3 linked regions of the Stegostoma tigrinum genome follow. The protein of the gene in region 3 interacts with the protein of the main gene of each other region in a biochemical or structural test. Links are inferred from orthologs where the notes say so. Each region holds a gene or a part of one and is shown on either strand. Other genes may lie near its edges. The genes, in order: sparc, thbs1b and collagen alpha-1(I) chain-like.

The links.
Region 1: the proteins of collagen alpha-1(I) chain-like (region 3) and sparc form a complex in vitro, tested with the Homo sapiens proteins (2 studies listed by BioGRID). The link is inferred for Stegostoma tigrinum from reciprocal best matches to the Homo sapiens genes COL1A1 and SPARC.
Region 2: the proteins of collagen alpha-1(I) chain-like (region 3) and thbs1b form a complex in vitro, tested with the Homo sapiens proteins (2 studies listed by BioGRID). The link is inferred for Stegostoma tigrinum from reciprocal best matches to the Homo sapiens genes COL1A1 and THBS1.

What each region holds. Positions count from the first base shown.
Region 1 is NC_081366.1:16,785,418-16,792,459, forward strand, and holds the start of sparc (SPARC), read left to right. Parts: upstream 1-3,961; 5' UTR 3,962-4,099; intron 4,100-7,042.
Region 2 is NC_081363.1:68,485,342-68,492,314, forward strand, and holds the start of thbs1b (thrombospondin-1), read left to right. Parts: upstream 1-3,925; 5' UTR 3,926-4,159; intron 4,160-4,275; 5' UTR 4,276-4,298; coding exon 4,299-4,365; intron 4,366-4,488; coding exon 4,489-5,039; intron 5,040-5,467; coding exon 5,468-5,543; intron 5,544-6,023; coding exon 6,024-6,217; intron 6,218-6,308; coding exon 6,309-6,437; intron 6,438-6,973. UniProt on the Homo sapiens protein: Adhesive glycoprotein that mediates cell-to-cell and cell-to-matrix interactions.
Region 3 is NC_081384.1:21,098,509-21,105,542, reverse strand, and holds the start of collagen alpha-1(I) chain-like, read right to left. Parts: upstream 3,046-7,034; 5' UTR 2,906-3,045; coding exon 2,824-2,905; intron 1,156-2,823; coding exon 961-1,155; intron 214-960; coding exon 197-213; intron 97-196; coding exon 73-96; intron 1-72. UniProt on the Homo sapiens protein: Type I collagen is a member of group I collagen (fibrillar forming collagen).

The sequences.
Region 1 (7,042 bases), on a different chromosome or scaffold from region 3:
TACAAACAATTTACAGAGAGATATTAATAGGTTAAAAAGTGGCAACAAATTGGCAAATGGAGTATAAGCTATAAAAATGTGAAGTTGTTCATTTTGTAAGGGAGAACAAAAGAACAGAATATTATTTAAATGAAGCAAAACTGCAGAAAGCTGTAACACAAGGGGAGTTGGGGGTACTTGTGCACAAAACACAGAAAGCTAGCACACAGGTACAAAAGGGAATCAGGAAGGGTTTATAGATTTTCTGAAGAAGGGTCTTGACCCAAAACGTCACCTTTCCTGCTCCTCCGATGCTGCTTAGCCTGCTGTGTTCATCCAGCTTCACACTGTGTTATCTAACGGTTTATAGAATATTGGTCATTATTTCAAAGCGATTGGAGAATGAGCAGGGGAATCTTACTGCAACTGTACTAGGTGTTGGTGAAACCACATTGGAGTGTTGTGAGGAGTTTTGGTCTCCTTATCTAAGAAAATATATTAGCTCTTTGCAGGCAGTTCAGAGAAGGTTCCCCAGGATGTTTACTGGTTTGGAGAGATTGACTTATGACTAAAGATTAAACAGGTTGGGACTCTACTCACTGCAGTTGAGAAGAATGAGAGGTGATCTCATTGAATCATATAGGGTGCTTAAGGGGCTTGACAGGGTAAATGCTGAAGAATACTTCCCGTCATGGGAGAGTCTAGGATGAGAATGCATGACCTCAGAATAAAGAAGCAATTTAAGATGGAGACGAGGAGGAATTTTGTTTCTCTCAGAGGGTTGTGAGCCTTTGGAAGTCCCTGCCAGAGCTTCTGGGGCAAAGTCCTTGTGTATATTTTATGGCTGAGATAGATAGATTCTTGATCAATGAGGAAATCAAGTATTATGGGGAAAGTGGATGTGAGCGTCGGATCAGCCATGATCCTATTGAATTGCGGAACAGGCTCGAGGGGCTGAAGAATTTTCTCATATTCTTACTTCTAGTTGTGTGATGGTCTTAATTTTACATGGATCTCCATTCAGTTTTGAAATCTAAGATAGCATCGGAGAAAGGCACACTACAAAGAATAGAAAAGAATATGATTAATCATTGGATATGTATATTAAAGGTAAGATGTAGTTCATAAGATGCCAAAACAGAGAGAAGGCCAAGGTGGCCAAGTGGATAAAAACAAAATTTAGAGATTGTAAGAGGAAAATATTTGTTTAGTAATAGTGCATTACATCAATGCAAAATGGAATAATATTTTGAAAGACACATTGAATCCTGGTTTGTCACAGAAAGTGAGAGGTATGTACCAAGGTATTGGAAAAGCCTGGAATGCAAAGCATAGAGAAGATTCAGTGAATGTGCTGCACTCCTAACGGTGGAAGTAAGATGCAATTTCTCACAAAAATCAGAATCAAAATTTGGGTATGGGGGCTGGATAAATTGAAATTTTTAAGACCATCAGTAAGATTTTGTAGTCATGTTATCAAGGATATTGGAGTAAAGAAAGGTTTCAGTGTTGAGGTACATATCAACCATTTTCTACTTGAATGGTGGAACAAACTTGAGAGGCTAAATGTCCTCCAACTATTCCTTTGGATAGGATAGAGTTGAGCCATTATCACAATTGGGAAAGGCATAAACTTGAAAATGGGAATGAATAGAACTATCCAAATAGATATAAGTAGACTTGGAATGAAAAACAGGATCTGGACATTGCACGTTATCAGGCAGTGAAATTTATTATAAGCAAACATCTTGTATTGGGCATTAACTAACAGTGGTCTCCACACTGGTTGTGAATAGAAATGGCTTAAGCATTGGAGGTATAAAAATATTCTGGCATTTATGTAGCATTTTTTGAAACTTAAAATATGTTTTACAGCCAATTAAGCATTTTTAGACTATAGACAGTCATAGCCACATCAGGCATGTCCTCACAGTTGATTAACTGTGAATTTATAGAGCTTGTTTGCGGCCCACATTTAGTTTCCAAATGTTTCAATTTAAAAAATAACTGGTAACACAATGTTATGCATTAAGCAAGATGAAAGGTTGAATTATTACACAACTTTGCTGGACACTATTTAAGCAAGAAGTGACAAACACATGAGCTGGCATTTGGATACAAAGATTGATTGTGAATAAGAATAAAACATTGGCATAAGATGAAAATACACTGTATTGCCAAGATTGTTGCAGGCCTACTCACATAAAGCTTTCTCCTTCTGAAACGAAGGGGTTGAAAACAGCAATAAATCAAATAAATCACTGTGGATGTTGCAGATCTGAAACAAAAACGGAAATTGCTGGAGAAACTCAGCAGGCCAGGCAGCACCTGTGGAGAGAAAGCAGAGTCAATGTTTCAGATCTAATGATACTTTGTTAAAACTTGGAATTCAGATTCAACAGCTGTAATAGCTTCTGTAGTTGAATAGTTGATTGCTGTCTGCATGGTTGGATCCATCACATTAGAATAATTTGGAAGAGAGAGATTCTTGTTCTTTGCTGGCTCTGTCATTCTGGAACTTTCAGGTTGCCTTGACTTTTTTGGCAGAACAGCAACTGATGTCTGTATGTCTTCTTCCTTTTACTCCTTTGGCTGAGAACCCTCCCCCAGGCCCATGATGTCTGGCATGGCTCTTCCAGTTTGGGAGTGGGGTCTTACATAAAATGTTTTAAACAGATCAAGATTTCAAATGAGTGCTATCCTAAAAACTGTTGCATCATGTTCCCAAATTCAATAGTTGGCCAAGGCCTGGGTTCCAATGTGGAAAGTAACTTTTTTTTATAATTGTCACAGCCTGGCTTTCATTGCTAGTCTCTTTTGGTGAACTAGGAAGAACTATTCATACATTCAAGGAAATGATTGTCAAGCTTACCCTTGGAAATATTAATTTAATTTCAAAAAGTCTCATGATTTATTCCCATGTAAGTACAGTCTAGTCCCAATACAAGCTGACTGAGGGAACCATTGAATTCTTGAAGCCATTTTGCGTGAGTCTTCAACTATTCTAAAAAGCAATTCAGTTATATTTGCAAGATGTACAGCATTATAATTATACAGCTATGACCGGTCACTGTAAGAAACAGTAAGGTGCCATAGGTAGTAATGAGATCATGCACATTATTTTCATGTTGGTTGAGGGATAAATATTGGCCAGGACACAGGGACAGATATCTTTGCTGTTGTTTAGCTTAATATGATGTGGATATTAAGCGCACTTTAGTGGGTATAATTTAATTAAAATTATTGCCATGATCTCAGCAAATGCAAACCCAGATAGAAGAACCCTCAAAGATTCAAAACGATAATTTGAACAAAGGTGCATTAAAAATCAAATTTGGTACATTTCTAAAGTTTTATTTATAAGAATCATATTTTTGCTTAAGAGTTGTATATCTTTATTTCGGAAATGCATAAAAACGGCACCGAAGTACATTCTTAAGGAGATAATCAGTGAATTCCACTGCAGGAGCTATGTTAGAGCATGTTTATGGAGGGTGCAGCTGAGAGCCACGTCTACTGAGATGGACCTTGGTAATTATCTGCACTGCCTCCATCGCTGGGTTGCTTTACATGTAAATTTGGACCACGTAGATATGCAGTTGCCACGTTGACAGTTCACCACTCCATTCCACCTCCACCACCCCACCCCACGCCAAATAAAACAAAAACCAGATGTTTGTTTCGTTCTGAAAACACTGCCAGACTGAGGCAAAAAGAAACGATTACTGAAGTAAGGATGAACCACTGCTAATTAATTAATATTTGCAGGCATCATACACAAACAGAAGCAGAAGTACACTTAATTGAATAGAATTGTGCTGTTTCGTGCTATAATGTAGCATTATGGAAATGGTGCAGCGAATCTGTCCAAATAAGGGAGTGGGATAGATTGTTCTGGTCTGCGATAGAGAGTGCGTTCCAATAGCAAACTATGCATTTGATTTTCCAACCAGAACAATTTGAAGTGGGGGAGGGATAGAGAGAGAGGGAGAGAGAGAGCCGGCCCACCCGGGATATCATTGCTTCATTTCCTGCCAGTTGACTCTAAAGAGTCAGATTCTTCCATTGCCTCAGTTAGCCTGGTGCTCTCTCACTACCGTGCAGTCTTCTCCTTCTTGAGGTATGAGCTACTGATTTTTTTTCCAGTTAGTTTTCCAAAGCTATTCCTTTGGTATTTCTGCGGATATGTTCAATTCACGATGTTATTAAAAGTAAGCCGCGTGTTTTGAGATTGCATCCTTCTAAGATCTTTTTTTCTGCCGACCCTTATCTGTCACTTCTGCATACCGCCCATTGACTTATAGTGCAATGTTATTAAGATGATCCTAACGGTTAACAAAGGCTTTCTTTCGACTGTTAGTCCATGGGCTATTTCTCAAGGACTCTCTTTGTTTACCGCAATAGTGCAAGACGCTTTAGGATTTACCGTGCCCTTAGGTTTTAATATTTAGTCTACTCTTGATAAAGCCGATCTGGACGGTGCAAAGTTCTACAAAGTTGAAAGATTTCACTCCCCCCCCCCCCCCCCCGATAAGCTTTTATAAAAATGTTTCTCCGGTTGTGAATCCCGTTACCAAGCAGGTGACTTGATTCATCTGGGGCCATTTACGGATCTTTTCATGAAGGCAAGGAAGCTGAGCACGGTTCAAATCTAACGCCCCAGTATGCGCACACAGGCGCCTTCCCTACCACGAAGCAGGGAGAGTAGCTCACATTTCAGAGCTATGTCCGAGTGAGAAAGATCCGTGGTACAGTAACTGAGACGAAGTTGCTCTTGTCACTGTTTCGGGCAAGGATCGGATATAATCTAACAAAGGACATGCGCCTCACCCTCTATCTACTCGACAGAACGCGACCACTCCCTGTGTGTTTTGTTTAATCGAAATTGCCTTTAACAACTACTTTTTGAAATGTTGGGAGCCGTTAATTCGTCTTGCTCTTAACAATTTCTGCAATTCCAAACAAAACTCTTAACGTAATTACTTTTTTAAAATAATAAGGTTAACATGGCACATTCGTCGTATTATGTAATTGTGTTTTTATTTGATTCATTTGCTAGAAAGTCTCTCTTTAATGAACCTAACACTATCGTGAAATGCCCCGTCTGCAGTTTTTGCCAGTTATTAAAGCCTATTTATTATTTTTAAGGAAATGAGGAACTTTCCGAGATGTATGATTTTCAAATGTAACATAGATTCGAGTGAATTCCGCTTGTTCGGAACGGTGTTTTAACTGCATTTTGCACGAAGACCGCTAACGGGGACGATTTCGAATGGGTTCATCTCCAACATGCACCTTGCGGGCTAAAAGCTCACTAACCGCGCATTATGAAGTGAACCTGGGATCTGCGAGATTGGAAAGGGGGGGCGGGGGTTATCTCTGCATGGCTGATGGGTGGGAAGGGTTTGGGGGCGGTTAATTCACCAGATGTATCCCTGGCTGACTCCTGTGTGTGTTAGCTGTAGGGTTAGTTCTTGCTGGACCAGCTTAGCAGGTGCAAACAGCTGGATACCAGCAGGGCTGGTCAACATCTGTCGACAGTTTATTATCTCCTCGTTTCGTTTCGGGTGGGTGGCTGTAGGAATGAAAAAAAAACTGATACAACAATTTGCCACTACGTCCTTCCACCCCCTTCTACCAAAACACGCCCACTATCTTTTTTTTCTAAAAGTATGCTCCCTCCAGTCAATGTCCAGTATCCCCCTCTTTGACTGTATGAGTTTCGGTTATCATGAAGGGGGAGAGTATACACGGTGAGCAGTGGTCCTAAGCGAGCAGGTTAACGGTGGAACAAAATGGCTAGCATTCGGCTGAAGTTGCTACACCGCAATGTCATATACCAGTTAGTACAATGTGAGCAAATATCAATGCCCACCCAGTGTGTACACGATACTAAAACACCATCATACAACACAGCACGGCGGATGCTGGGAATCTGAAACAGAGCCAGTAGTTTCTTCAGAAACTCGGCACGTCTGGCAGCACTAGTGGAGAGCGAAAAACAGAGTTAACATTTTCAGTTCTGAAGAAAGGGTCACTGGACTGGAGGCGTTATCTCTGCTTTCTCTCTACAGACTCTGCCAGACCGGCTGAGTTTCTCCAGCAATTCCTTTTTTTTCTTTGTTCCTGAAACACCATAAGTAGGATTGCGGAGCTCAGAGTCATAGAGTAAGGTAAAATACAATTTTACACTGAAAGTTTCTTAACAGAACATATAATGCATCCAAAGCAGAACAGAAGTGCATGAAGCGACCAGGCAGAGGAATGTGGTTCTATAGGAGGCAACTCAACTTTGACTCGCTGCTCAAGTGCCTTAAATTTTGACGATTAATCAAGGAGGTGAAATCCGATTTATCTGATTTGTAAATGAATATGTTTATTGAAAACAAACACAAGTAAATTCTAGAAAGTGCTGGCAAAACTCTGTAGTTCTGGCAGTAGTTGTGAACTGAGCTGACGTTTTGTGTGCATGGGCTCACTCTAGGAGAGGAGAGGAATTCGGAAAAGGGTAAGTGAGGAGGATGGAGGGTGGGGGAAGAGGCTAGAATTACTTCAGACTGATCTCCCACTCACCAAGTCAGAGCTATTAAAAGTGACCATTGATCTGACTTCATTCCTCTCAAATTGCCTCTTTTTGACTTCACTGTTTCACAAGGGTGTCCGGAATGTCACTGCGAAATAGATCTTCTCCGTTGGCAGAATTCCGACAATATCCTTGCAGATTTCGGAGACCTACCTTCCGGCAGCTATGCTAATCTAGAGGGTCAGTTTATTCTGTAGGTTAGTGTACAACTAAGCATTTCAATACAGGACAGAAAGCGGGAGGCTTGTCTCGGTACGTTCCACACGGGCGCTGGTTGGTTGTCATTCCAGAATCCCTTTGACTTAAACGGTGACTTGCAATGGGCAATAAATTCAACTGATGCTGCTTCGTCAGCTCCCATTCACTTACGAAATGTGTGCAGTAATGTTTGCTTTTTTGGGCGACGTGCCGGGGCTTTGGGGTGGGCTGAGGGGATGGGGTGTGAGTGGAATTGGAGGCGAGAACACCCGAGGAGGAAAC
Region 2 (6,973 bases), on a different chromosome or scaffold from region 3:
CAAAAATGGATCTGACATGATTTTTCTTATCTCCTGCAGTGTAGATATTTAGAACACCAATCTGACTCTGTGTGGGAAAATGAAATCTTTCAACGCTGCGAATTCCTGTGTGCTGCATGCGTGAGGCTGCACTCCAAAGTCTAATTTTCAGACCGTCTGCAACATGGGCAGGAACGAGTGTTTTTTTTATAACAAGCAAAAGTGGACTGTATTATCTTATTAGTCATTGGGTGTTCGTCCCCCATATCGGGGTATCCTGCAAAGGGATTAGAAAGTAACGGAGGATCCCCTCCTTCAACAATTCCAACAATTCTTACTCAAAATGTCCCTGGCTGAATCATACCTGCTTCTGTCCAAAGAATTTCATGAAAAAAAAACATTCAAGATTATAGGGGGAGGGAAGAAGGCAAGCAAGAATGGAGGGAGAGGGACGTGAAGTGGTGGATGGAATAGGCCAGGGTAAATGTGGAGGTGGGAGCAGATGAATGAGATGAATTCATTGCACTAAGGCTTATTGAAACATATGCAGTTTGCAGATGGGGGCATTAACAACAAGCAGCATAATTGATAGTTTTAAGGTGTTATGGTGTGTTGATAATGCCCCTCTGAGCTAAGAGGTCCAGGTTTAAGCTCCATCTGCTCTATTAACTCTGTGAAAATATCACTGAACAAGTTGACTAAAACTTAGAGATAATGGGAACTGCAGATGCTGGAGATTCAAAGACAGCCTCACATTTTATTATCTTGACTAAAACTTAAATGAGACATTTAAGGTCTTGTGGTGTAGTGGTAGTGTCCCCGCTTCTGGGTCAGAAGTCTAGGTTCAAATCTCAGTTGCCCACAAAGATGTCATAACATGTCTAAATGGGTAGATTAAAAATATTTAAGAAATGACCATCAGAGTTTAAATTGGGGAATTGGAGAATTTAAAGAAATTGAACTGAGAAACTTTCTGCTCTGGGTGACTCAGCAAAGAGCACAGGATGCATTAAGAGATAGTAGGAACTGCAGACGCTAGAGAATCTGAGATAACAAGATTTCTGAAGGAGGGTCTAGGGCCAAAAAGTCAGCCTTCCCGCTCCTCTACTGCTGCTTGGCCTGCTGTGTTCATCAAGCTCTACACCTTGTTATCACAGGATGCATTAACTTTTGTTTTCATTGATTCAGTCTTGGGATGTGTTTAATGTTGTGAACCACCTTCCTGAAATAATGCAGTCCACTTTGGAACTTTAGGCTGTTTCACAGGACAATCAAAAGTCCCACATCAGTCTGGACTCCAACAACATACAGATCAAATCAGATAAAGACTGCAAGGTTTACAGCCTCACAAAGAATCAGTTAGATTTTTCAAAAATATAAACACTTACATGGTTGTAACAGCTTTCTCAATCTCAGATGGCCCCTACAGCTAATGAAGTCAACTAACTGTTTCTAAGAAACCTATTCAGAGAAGTTATAATACACCTCTGGAGCAAATGGGACTTGAACCCAGGCCTCCTATCCTCGAGGCTGCCCTCTAGTAAGTGGTGGGGAATAGGACAGCTGCACCATAAGGCCCCACTCCAAGTAAAGAAGAATGGCAGCTCATCACTTATGAAAACATGCTTAATTTACATAATTGGTGCTCATAATCCAATCTCTTCGTCCTTTCAATAACATTGGTTGTCATCTTCTGTATTCTTTCACTGACTGCAATGTCTCTCTTTTACAAGTGTGAATAGAACTTTTCACACTGTTTAGTCGAAGTGCAGTTACATCAATGATTTGTAAAGTGGCAGTTGTAACTCACAGTATCAGTTCAATATTGACTTTTCAATACATCACAACATTTGATTTGATATATTTGTACCACTGAACATTGTTTCAATACCTTTAATTTATTGTCAATGGGATCCCTGGCAAAAACATGCTATAATTTTCCACACAAATTATTTTCTTTCCATTTATGTAATTGTCCCTTACCGCCCCACTACAACAATATATCAGTAATTGTTCTGTCCCACTGTTGGGTCTACTTGCCCCATTTGCAGTTTGTTTCACTTACTAACAAATTGTGATTCCACAACTAGTAGTTTGTATCTTTTCCATCATGTTGTATCAGTGGCTGCTTAACGAACCTCACAGATCTTTGGTTAGTTTGTTCTTTCAGGGCAAAGTCAATCCAGGTTTTAAATGGACGCACAGAGAGAGCAAATGGGCTGACAGCTACAGGCAGGGTCAATTCAGGGTGCAACACTGAAAATTGGGAAATGTGCTCATTCCAGATCACCAACAAAGTCAACTACACATTGAGAGCCGGTGCCATACACTCCAGAATGCATCAAACTCAAATATATTCAGGTCTAAAAGACCCTATGATTCCAGTGAGTAGTCATTATGGAGCAAGGCTCATTACTGTTGGCAAGAAGGACATAGACTTCAGAAATAAGAACAGAAATTTTGCAGCATTTTCCACTTATGGTTCAGGTTTCCAGCATCTGCAGTATTTTGCTTTCATTCGGCATAGAATTCAGCCCTGGCGAAGAGAAGTACGGACTGTACATGGACCGGAGAATTTTAAACCCTAATGCGCCTTGTCACAGACCACCCCCATCCGTCGTACAAACACCGAGCCATAAAGGGATTCATCCGAGACTTTCAACCTCTTGACACTGAGATTTTTAACCTCTTGACAAGGTCAAGTGGGACAAGAATACTTGCAAAAGCTGCAAAGGCAAATTTGTTTGGCTTTGGGAAATATTGCGCAGTGTTGGTTCACCCCTTCTTTGGACAGGTTGACACCAGTGCGAAACCCTAACTGCATGTGGCCAGTTGACAATGGAAGAAATTGCGCTGGTAAAATATTCGCCTGTGCAGAAGATCTGGAAGGCGAGTCAGCTAGGGGCCAAAGCCACAGAGTGAAACGTACACTGCTATTGTCTCAGGAAATCTTGACGAAGCTGACATACTCGGACTCTCGCTACTGTAGGAGTAAGCAAAAAAAAATGCACCGACGTCAAAAACTATTTCCAGGATCAGAATTTTCTCCAATGACTTAGAGATGGAATGGAAAATAACTAAAATAACTTCTAAAAAAATCTTTTTAGCAAAAGTTTTTTAAACACGCTGAAAATATAGTTCGGCCATGCGTAAGTGTAGTTACAGACATTAGAAAGTTGTTTACAACCTGGATACTTTTGTGTGGCATGAAATCGAGGAAAGTTACATTTTTGGGTTGGCACTGCTGAAATATGTCGGAAGGCGAGATCTGCTGCGAGACTGATCGATTTGCAATTTGGATTGAAGCGGTATGAAATGCTTTCGCGCTGTCCTGAGATGGTGAAACAAGCGAGACTCGAGAACCCGAAAAGCATTCGCTGGCCGGCAAATGAAACGACACACTTCCCCCTAGTGGGGAAATCGGAGGACAGCTCGAAAACACAGGACCGCAACATAACCACAAGCTCACAATTTGTGGAATTATGGAACAGATTTTTCATTTATTCGAGATACATCATTTCACTGAAATAAAAAAAGTCATTTTCTTAAACCACACCATCAGATTCCTATCATAGGGAGACTCAGAGTATATTCCAACAGGTGCTTGTTACATTTTGCTCAATAAAGGTATGTCTGGGAAGGGAATGTATGACACAGGACTGCCTGGGTTAGAGCAACAAAATCTGGATCCACGGACAGGATGGCGGAGGCGGGTGGGGTCTGGCTAGAACTCTCGCACCTCTCGGTAAAATTCTTTTGCGTCTTTTTGGCCCAGCTCCACTGGAATCCGCCTAATTACTTTCCTCGGTGCGGTCATGACTGCTTCGGAACTGTATCCCTCTTGTTGTGAGGTAACAGAATAAACACAAGCCCGCTTCCTCCCAGGCAGCCAGTGATTGGCAGAGACTGACTGCGAGGAATGTGAGAGGGTATTTAAAGCAGCCGTTCTCCAGGCTCACAGTAGTATCGATCTCGGGTACCTTCAGCTTCAGGGGCTGCTTCTTAGGCAAAGACTTCGAGGTGAAGAGAGACTTTTGAAACAAAAAAAATACAAGTAACGTTTCGAGTCTGAGAAGCCAGCTTACCAGATCTTGTACATTTCGGATTTGCCATCGTTTACCATCCGCGGAGCTATTATTGTTTGCACTGTTCATTTTAGGATTGAAAGCCTTCACTACTGGTCAGTGAACGAGTTTACATTTCAGTCGATGATAGCAGTAACACAGTAGTTTGAATAATTGTTTTGGAAACTCTATGCAGCTAAAACAAAAAAAATTCTCCCTTTTTTTATGCCAGGGTCTGAGAGAGTTCCTTCTGAAATGAAGCCACTGCACGGACTCTTCCTCCTTTTGATGATTGTTGCTTGCTCCTCCAAGCGAATCCAAGGTAAGTTGTGAGTGCACGTCCCCCCGCAGCTATTGGCGCTCCCCTCCTGTTGAAGTCACTTGCTTTGAAGAGTTAATGCTGTGCGTTTAAATGTGTGCCCTTCTCTTGCCTAATCCCCGACAGACGCCGGAGCGGATGGAGTCTTTGATCTGTTCGACATCACTGGCCTTACTCGCAAGAATGTAGGGGTGCATATGGTAAAGGGACCGGAGTCTAGCAGCCCGGCTTACAGGATCCTCAACCCTGACCTCATTGCCCCGGCTTCGGAGAACAGCTTCAGTGAGCTGATCGATCACATCCAGCAGGAGAAGGGATTCATTTTCCTGGCCACCCTGCGCCAGATGAAAAAGAGCCGGGGGACCTTAGTAGCCATCGACACGCTGCAAGGGACACGCATCTTCGAGATCCTGTCCAACGGCAAGGCGAACACTCTCGACCTGACCATCACCATCGACGGCAAGCAGAGTATGGTGTCCATCACCGATGCGCACCTGGCCAATGCCCGCTGGAAAAACCTCACTCTCTTCGTGCAGGAGGACGTGGCCACGCTGTATGTGGGATGTGAGAAGGTCAATGGCGTGGAGTTGGAGGAAGCTATTCACAAAGTGCTGAAGCCTGGTGACTACAGCCTGAGGCTGGCTAAGGGAGGACCTGGGCTCCGAAACAATTTTCAGGTAAGGGCAGACTCTCTCTCTCTCTCTCTCACACACACACACACACACACACACACACACACACACACACACACACACACACACTCACTCACTCACTCACTCTCATTCGCGCACACAGTCACACTCACTCACTCACGAAGGGGGGACAGCCAGAGGCAGGAACAGTGCAATAACTGACTCGACGCAAGTTACAGAAACTGCGGACGGCTGGTAATGCACTGAATGGTTTGTAAACGAAAGGCTGTTTCAAAAATGAATTTGGGCAGAGGAGTCACTTCAGATAGCATTAAATGTAGCGGAAGTTCGCGCGTTTTTCGACATGACGTTAACTAACAAATAAAAGTGCAGTGCAGAAGGAATCGTGGCTTACTATTTTGTTTTTTTGAAAAAGTGGCTCCAATTTTGTTTCTTCCTTCTGTGTGACACAGGGAGTTCTGCAGAACGTGCGCTTTGTCTTTGGGACCAACTTGGAAACCATTCTGATGAACAAGGGCTGCTACAGTAGTAAGTATCCGACACGGGCCTGTCCGGGGGAAATTTTCCTGTACAAGCGCTTGCTCACCTCCGCTGAAACAGCCGCACTACTTCACCTCGAGTGATAGTGGTTAGTGAGATTCAAAGATTATCCCGAACTCTTAACTAGGGACCATCTCATTCACATGAGGTGAGCCCCCCCCCGCCCTATATGTGTGTTTTTGAGGGGCGAGCGGGCTGCAGTGAGAGTTCGGAATTGTATCAGGAATAATCCAGCAACATCAACTTTCTAAATGCAGGTGCTGTGTTTTTGTGGGTGGAACGAATTGCTGCTTGCATTCCATGTCAGGCTTTGCTTTTAAAAACCTCTTGAGTAGAATCACCCTTGTCCATAAAAACAAATATGAGCTGTTACCCAAAGGACTTTATCCAGTGGTCTTGGCTGGAACAGTTCAGAATGTGTCCCATTAACCGCCAGCCCTCATGTAACTGCTCCTCTTATTTTTGCAGCTGCCCCAGGGATTCTTCCTTTACCAATCAGGGGCTCTGAAAGCCCGGCCATCAGGACCAACTTTTATGGTCACAAAACCAAAGATCTTCAGACGGTCTGTGGCATCTCCTGCGAGGAACTATCCAACATGTTCTCTGAACTGCAAGCTCTCAGGACCATGGTCACCCAGCTGGTTGATAATGTTCAGAAAGTGGTAAGGAGACTAAAGGAATCGAGCCTTTTGTAAGTTACTTTAGTTACTTGTGCATGGGGTTGTAATGAATTGTCACTACCTTCTCCTCTAGACTGCAGAAAATGAATTAATTGCAAGAAGCATTGGAATCAAACAGATAGGAGGATGTTTCCACAATGGCATGACTTACAAAGACAAAGATCAATGGAAAGTGGACAACTGCACAGACTGCACTTGTCAGGTAAAACCGCAACATTTGATGCAACTCAAAACTTAACTTGCTTTTCCAAAAAAAGCTATAGCAAAGATTCCTGCATTGTAATAATCACTTAAAGTTGTTTCACTTGCATTCAGATTGAAATTGCATGGTCTAGCAGTAGTCAATTGTCGTGCCAACTTAGTAGCTGGAACTATCACCAACGCTGCCAAAACGGTTAAAAAGCATTAGGAAAGCCACAGGTCTTAGGACTGTTTGGGTTGCTTTTGAGTGGTTTTGAATATCTGTAGGGAAACACTGCATTGGGCAATATTTTCAAGGGGAAGAGCCTGTGCCAAATATAAACTGGACCAAATTTAAAGGAACTGACTACTTGGAACAATGTTAAAAGCTTTTTCCAGAAGAAAAGTATGAAAGCCGTAATCTTGGTAATTTTGTCAGGGAGTAAATTTGCAGATAATTGATGTAAATCAGCAAAATATGCGGGATGGGCAGACAATATATCAACTGGAGTGTGCTTTCTGAGCCGATTGTTATCAAATTCTGCACTTCCAGCCTCT
Region 3 (7,034 bases):
TAATAAATGTTCAACTTCTGTGTGTTTAAAATATCTTTTGTTAACCTGGAAATAAAAAGCATTTCTATTTACCTGAATACCAGGGCCAGAGGGATACTGGAAAGAAAAATTAATAAGTCAGTGTGTGGATATGTGTTACAAGTAACCATGTAAATATTTCATTGTTGTATTGTCTAAGTGAATATGATGTACTTACTGTTTCTCCACCTTCTGCTGTAACAAAATAAAAAGAGCTTAATTTATAAACACATTTTCAAAAACAACGGAAAGCATTGTAATTATTGCTCATAAACAGCTTATAGTTTATTTACTGCACATATGTTTTTTAGGGAGGAGAGTGCAAAAGGAAATTACTTCTAAGACTCCTTCCGGTTTTGCTCTACTTGGGCCTGTGACATGTTCATTGAATCATTCAATGATGTCATAGCTAAAACCCATAATGCTTAAATTGGTTTAAAGAAAACCTCTATCAGATCAAATGATTCAGAAAAAGACAATAACCTGGGTTTTTAAAAAAATCAAAGACACTCAATTAAATTAAAATTAAAAGCGGTTTGTTTATTGTGGCTGTGGTACTTTTGTGTTAAATAACCCCTTAACGTTCACTGTCACTTTCACCATGAAATGGCAAAACATTTCCTGCAAATCATAAATGCTGACGGACTAGTATAATGTAATCATTACTGGTTTTGAAGTGAATTCACCTAAAGCTTTCAAACGTAATGTGTATTTTGTCACTAGGTTTAAAAAGCAATGTTTAGAATTGTCCATTCGAGTGGATACTTCATTCCACTTCCAGTTGCTGCCGCGCAGCAACTATTGCTACCTTTTCCTAAACTACATTGCTGTTGATAATTGAGTTTGGGAATGTAAGGCGATGATATAAGTTGTCAGGTGGCTGGCGGAGAGCACTTAAAGGCGCCTTCGAACAATTGACTAGGGACCACAGCAAACACTCACGATCTTTTTCGGGGCAGACGGGGCAGCATTCTCCGTCGCGCACTTCGGCATTGGGGCAGTCGATGGTTTCCTCGCAGATTATTTCGTCACAAAGGACCCGGCCATTGTCGCAGACGCAAATCAGGCAGGGTTCGGGTTTCCAGATATCCTTGTTTTCGAACGTTTCTCCATCCTTGTAGCAGCTAGGTCCGCTATCTGAGAATCAAACGGGATATATCAACCGCGGTGATACCAAACGCCCTCTAATGGGCAGAAAGGCAAGAACGCCTTTGGGGGAAAAAGTGACAAACTTCAAAGGGACGAGAAACTGTATGCAGATTCATGTTGAGCTATTTATTTTGTATCCCAAACAGCCTAAGATAGAACTGATAACACTACTCCTCAATTTAAAAAGAACATGCACTTTTGACATTGTGACCTGTATGGAATACAAGAATTTTCGACATTTAAGTTTTAACAATGCACCAAGTATTTTGGTCTTTAGTTTAAAGGCGTTGCTTTAGTGACACAAGCTCGCAAGCCAAGATTATCAGGCGAGAAATTCAACAGATGGCGCTCAAGCTCCACCTCAGATTTAGCACTGCAGTAAACCGCACAAAAGTGCATCCGACTCAAATCATTTTTTAGTCAATGGTACGCAGTTTCATTTAAAACACGTCCCGTGCAGAATTGTTAATGTGGTGGTGGAGTAAATCAGAGTTAAAGTGGATTTCTGACGAAGAGTCATATCGTACTCAAAACGTTAAACTCTTTCTCTCTCCACAAACGCTGCCAGCCCTGCTGAGTTGCTTTTTCCGCCAGTTTTGTCTGTTTTAAATTAGAAGATCCTGGTTGTCTTGGGGAAAAAAAGCCAGTTTACAATAGCTACCATTTTAACATGTTGCCTAGAGATGGCGCTGTTAAGCCACAGCACTGGACTGCTACTCAGAACTTGCTTGGCTTTGAAAACAATGTCTAAACATCTGGATTGCTTCTATTCCGAACACCGGACATTTTTTTCCCCTCAAACAACTTCGTTTCTTGGCTTGAACTTTAAATACGCTAATTTTCGGAATTGGAACAATTTCGATTTTCTTTAAAAGCTACCTTATGTCTGAAAATCGATTTGTGGCTGCAAACTAAACAGAACTAGGCAAAAATCACTAAAACTCAAACCCAGATTTTACCGCTTTATGCATTTTATTCAATTTAATAATATTTTAAGTGTATTTTAATTCGCGTTGTGCTCTGTTTTCCATCTGTTTGACACTATTTTCCATTTGGACCCAATTTATTCGAAATTCGCCACAAAGGATCTGCTCCAAAGTGACACACCCACTATCAAAGGCAGCTGCTTTCAACCAATTGTCTGGTCGAGACTCCTTCACTCCAACTAATATGGTCCCAACAATTGTCTGTGTTCTGTTTCCCTTTCTTAAACGGGGTGGATACTGCAATTCTTGTGGGCTGGCGGAGAAGTTAGACAGTCTGACAGCCACGTAATACACAAATGTAGTTTCTTTTAATGCACCCATCCCTTAGAGATCGAAAAACCATTCCATAAAAGGAAAATCGTTGCGGTAATCTATTTCAAATCGTTTGCATAGTTCGAACAAAACGCAACAAGCTTTCGGAATGCTCCAAACATTACCGTCTGAAGCTAACATCAGGAAAATGTTGCCTGACATTTTTTCAATCGACAATCCTGCAAGTCAATTTCACATTAGAGCTTTCTTTGCAAAGTTTTAACAGAATTCAAAGTTGTGCATCCCTCTCCCGTTAGGTCGATCGTAGCGTTCGCCTCTTAAGCGGGCGATAGACGGGAGATTTTTCGAAACAGTTCTTCAGGACGAAACAGAAGGAAAACGAGAAAGGAACACTTACTGTCATCGTCCGCTTGACATCTTCCCACCACTAACGTTGCTGCCAGCAACAGCAAAGTCCGCGTATCCACAAAGCTGAACATGTCTAAATATTAGACATGTAGACTCTTTGGGGTAAAAAAAGGGAAACTTTCTTTAACGTCCGGACATGCAATGGTTCTGGTGTGTAATTCCAAGCTTCAGCACCGAGCCCCAGCAGAAACTTCCTACTGTTCCGTTTGCAGATCGCCTGCCCTTTTATGTGTGCCAGGCTTTGGAGGTGTGAATAGTTGCCGCCCATCTCCACCAGTGACCCCCCCCCGCCACCAAACAAATCTCCTCCTCCAGTTGGAAACCGGCAAAGTCCCCGCCTGCGGCAGGATCCAATTGTCTCTGACCATCCACTAACATGTACGTAGATGCCTTCCTCCAATCGGGGTGGGAAGAGGGAATTCTGGATGGCTGGTGTGAACCGCCATGTGGCTGTTGGACTCATACTTGCACTCCATGCCCTGCCTCCTTCTCTATACATCACCCCCCCCCCCCCGCCCTAACCCCGACGCAAGACCCATTTAATTTGATGAACCATAATTCTTTTCCTAAAACCTATTCTTCTTCAGACACGGGCACATCATTTTTCAAAGGCACTTTTTTTTTTATTGGCTTCGTTTCAGAGGCTGTTACAGAGCAGAGAGACACGTTGAAGCATGACTGGGTCAAAGAAGGGCTGGAAAACTTTCAACTGAAGGAACGGCTTAGCTCTTCCTAACCAACATACACGTAATCACTTTTATTGATACGCCAACTCATCAGTTTTTTTTCAGAAAAACACGAAAGTTGGGGAGTAATTGGTGAGGAAACCTCCAAGAAACTAGACTTGAAAAGATCCAAATCAAATGTTTCCCGGATTTTAGATGAGACACATTTAAACGCAGAAATAAGTCAAATTGTCAATGTTGTGATCACTTTTCTGCATTTTATTTCCCCTTATGGAATCACCCGTCGCCTAGTGTGAATCTAACAAAGAGATTACTCTGTAATCATGGACTTGCTGTTGAAATAGCAATTTTCAATCAGCAGCATTAGAATTGAAATATAAAAACCGAAAGGTCATAAACCTGAGGGGTTTAACAGTGGCATGATTCCCCGAGCGGAACTCGATTGGTTTCAGCTAAAACATTTGCACCTTGCTAGCATTGCATGACAACGAATTAGGCTGCTCTGTGTTTTTGTTTTGTTTGCAACTATTTGATTGTTACTTTATAAACAACACCTGTGAGGATGTCGATTTTTTTTTCATGCCTCAGCACTCTTATTTTCGTAAGGATAACCTGGTGTGGGGGCTGGGGAGGAGAGTTGGAAAGTTGAGATGTGGCAGAGAGACGGGTATGTGGTTGCTTCTTTCCCAAAGGAAACGACATCGAAATGAACGTGCCCCCGAATCATCCTGCTCCCAGGATTTAATAATTTGGGATGTGACGCTTGATCGAAACCTGTAGTGTACTGTAATTTTTATGAAAAGCAGCAATGTTTCAGTAAGTCACATAAAATGATAACAGTTCAACTTTCTTATTTTTAGAGGTTTAAAAAATAACGACATAAAGTGACAATTCGTTCCAGAACAAACCAACAGCTAAAGGGAACTCCCAGAGCGAACACACTAAATTTTCCCCCAGTTACGAAATCCTTTTCTCATAACGTGGAGGATTTGACAGAACCAAAGCAGGGGTTTCAAGTCACGGGCGATGTATTAATATATTCGTTTAGCTCACTCTGTGATAGTTGGGTGAATTGGTGACACGTCTGAAAACGCTTTTGCAAAGCCCGCGGTGTATGTGGTAACCATGTAGCGCTGCTGAAAAGATCATCAAGAAGCAGTTGAGCAAAATTCCTTGTGGGCTGCACGTTTCCTACCACGAACGGTGCACTCCAAGACAGTGTTGGGTGGGGCGATAGGAGATTTCCCAGTATTTAGAAGGTGTGCTACTTTGAATGTAATAATACCTGCGAATAATTGTGTTGTCACACTAAAAGCATCACAACTGCTGTGTTCACCTTCCACTTTGATTTATTGCGCACATTAACACGTTTGAGACTTGCATCCACCTGGGCTTGTGCTTCAATTGCGTTTGGCGAGTGGCATAAAACGCAACGGATCGCTGTATCCTGGGTTTAGAAGTGGTCCCCTTTCTCTGTCTTTGCCTGAACTGACAGTTCCCCGCACAGTGATTAGCCTGAAGCCCCTGAGCTCGACCTCAGGAGACTTCTCTACCAGCTTCCCTTACGTAACGATGGAAGAATTGTTCGGAGGAGCAGTATTTTCTATATTGAGACCACTGAGGGAGAAGGTTCTACAGGTGGTGTGGGTGGAGGGTCAATTTTTAGTTTATATAAGTCGGAGGTGAATGTTTAATTCAATACAGTTGGGGAGGGCTCGGTGCACTTATACAAACCAGATGGAATCACTAGTTCGCCTCAGTCGATCAAATCTGAACAAAAAGATGAGAAACGTATATATTTTTTTCCTGTTGAAGTTATATTCCTGACCCAAAACAACCCAAATATGAACATTGAAAAGATTCTCCCGAACTGCTCAGTGATTTCTCTTTCTGATACCGAGTAGACAGCTCCACATCTGGGATGCGTTAAACTCGCTTACATCAACACTATTCCAGTTGCAGATGGGATGAATTAGTTAACATGTTTTTTTGGATCCCAAAGAAGAAAGGCAGGAATGTCAGGCTCTATGGCGTTATGGTATTCACTGTAATAGTAGGCAAAGAAAATAGTTAAGGATTCCGATTAAATTCACTATATCGTTCTTGAGTCCGGGCTGTTTTGGGAGAATTAAAATCAATGATGCTTTTTAAATTATTTGGTGCAAACACCATTTCCCATCGAACGGTGCTAGCAACCCCTGTCGCCGTTCGCAGTGTCTACGTGGTGCTCTTGAAGAAGTAGGTGCGGTGCGAAAGAGGGCAGGTCTCTTGCAGATGGGTCACACTCATCATTACATTTCCCCTTCCCTGACCCTCGCTTCACCGTGCATGACTCAAACGCAAATTTGCACCAAACGCTGCTGTAAAACTTCAACTTGCTATATTTCTCGACTTTAAAAGACAGCTGAAATACTTTATGCATATCTTAGCTGAGCCACCAAACTGCTTCTTATGTCTCAGCACAATTGTTACAAACTACCACCTTGCCATTTGGAGTCGATTCTGCAGAATCCCCCAGCTCTGAGCGAAGCAAGCCCAGCTTGAGACGTGCTCCAGACCTATGCCATATCATTTCTGCGCAACTTGATTACAGAATATCTTGGAGTGATTTAGACCAGTCAGGTTAACTTCGGTGGTGGGGAGAAAGACTTCTAGTAGCAATTATTCGGCATCAAATTAATAGACACGTGGAACAAAACTGAGTTATTTGGGAAGAGTCATCATGCGCTCGTTCAAGGAAAATTGATTCGAACTAGCTGAAGATTTTTGAAGAGGTAATAGGCGCAGTATTAATGTGGTGCACGTGGACTTTTAAAGGGCATTGGATACCATGCCGCACGAAAGCCTTGTGACTACATTTATAGGTTATGGAATAAAAGGAACAGTAGCAAAATGGACGCAACATTGTCTGGGAGATAGGGGAGAAAGACTAATTGTGGGTACTTTTCAGGCTGGAAGAAGTTTTGTAGTGGAGTTCCCCAGGGGTCAGTGCTGGGAGTTTCTCTTTTTCTGATATACAAAGGATTTAGATCTTGTGTACAGGGGTAATTTCAACATTTGCAGACGACACAAAATTTGGTAGAATCGTAAACTGTGAGGAGGACATTGTAGAATTCCAAAACAACACTAATATTGGAGGAGTGGGTGGATTGATATCAGGATAAGCTCAATGTGGAGAAGTGTGAAGTAATACACTCTGGTAAAAAAAATGCAGAAAAAAGGGTACTGTTCTAAATGTTATACAGGAGCATAAAGATCTGGGTTTATATGTGCTCTTGTATATGAGCTTTTGTGCTCCTGAGATGCTGCTTGGCCTGCTGTGTTCATCCAGCCTCACATTTTATTATCTGGGTTTATATGTACATCAGTTATTGAAGGTGGCAGGGTAGGTACAGATTAAGCATATACTGTTGTGGGTTTTGTGAATAGGGGCATAGAGAACCAAGGGCAGGGGGTCTAGTTGGTCAGTAGGGTTATGATGAACTGACAAGAGACTCTGGTGAGAGGTCAGCTG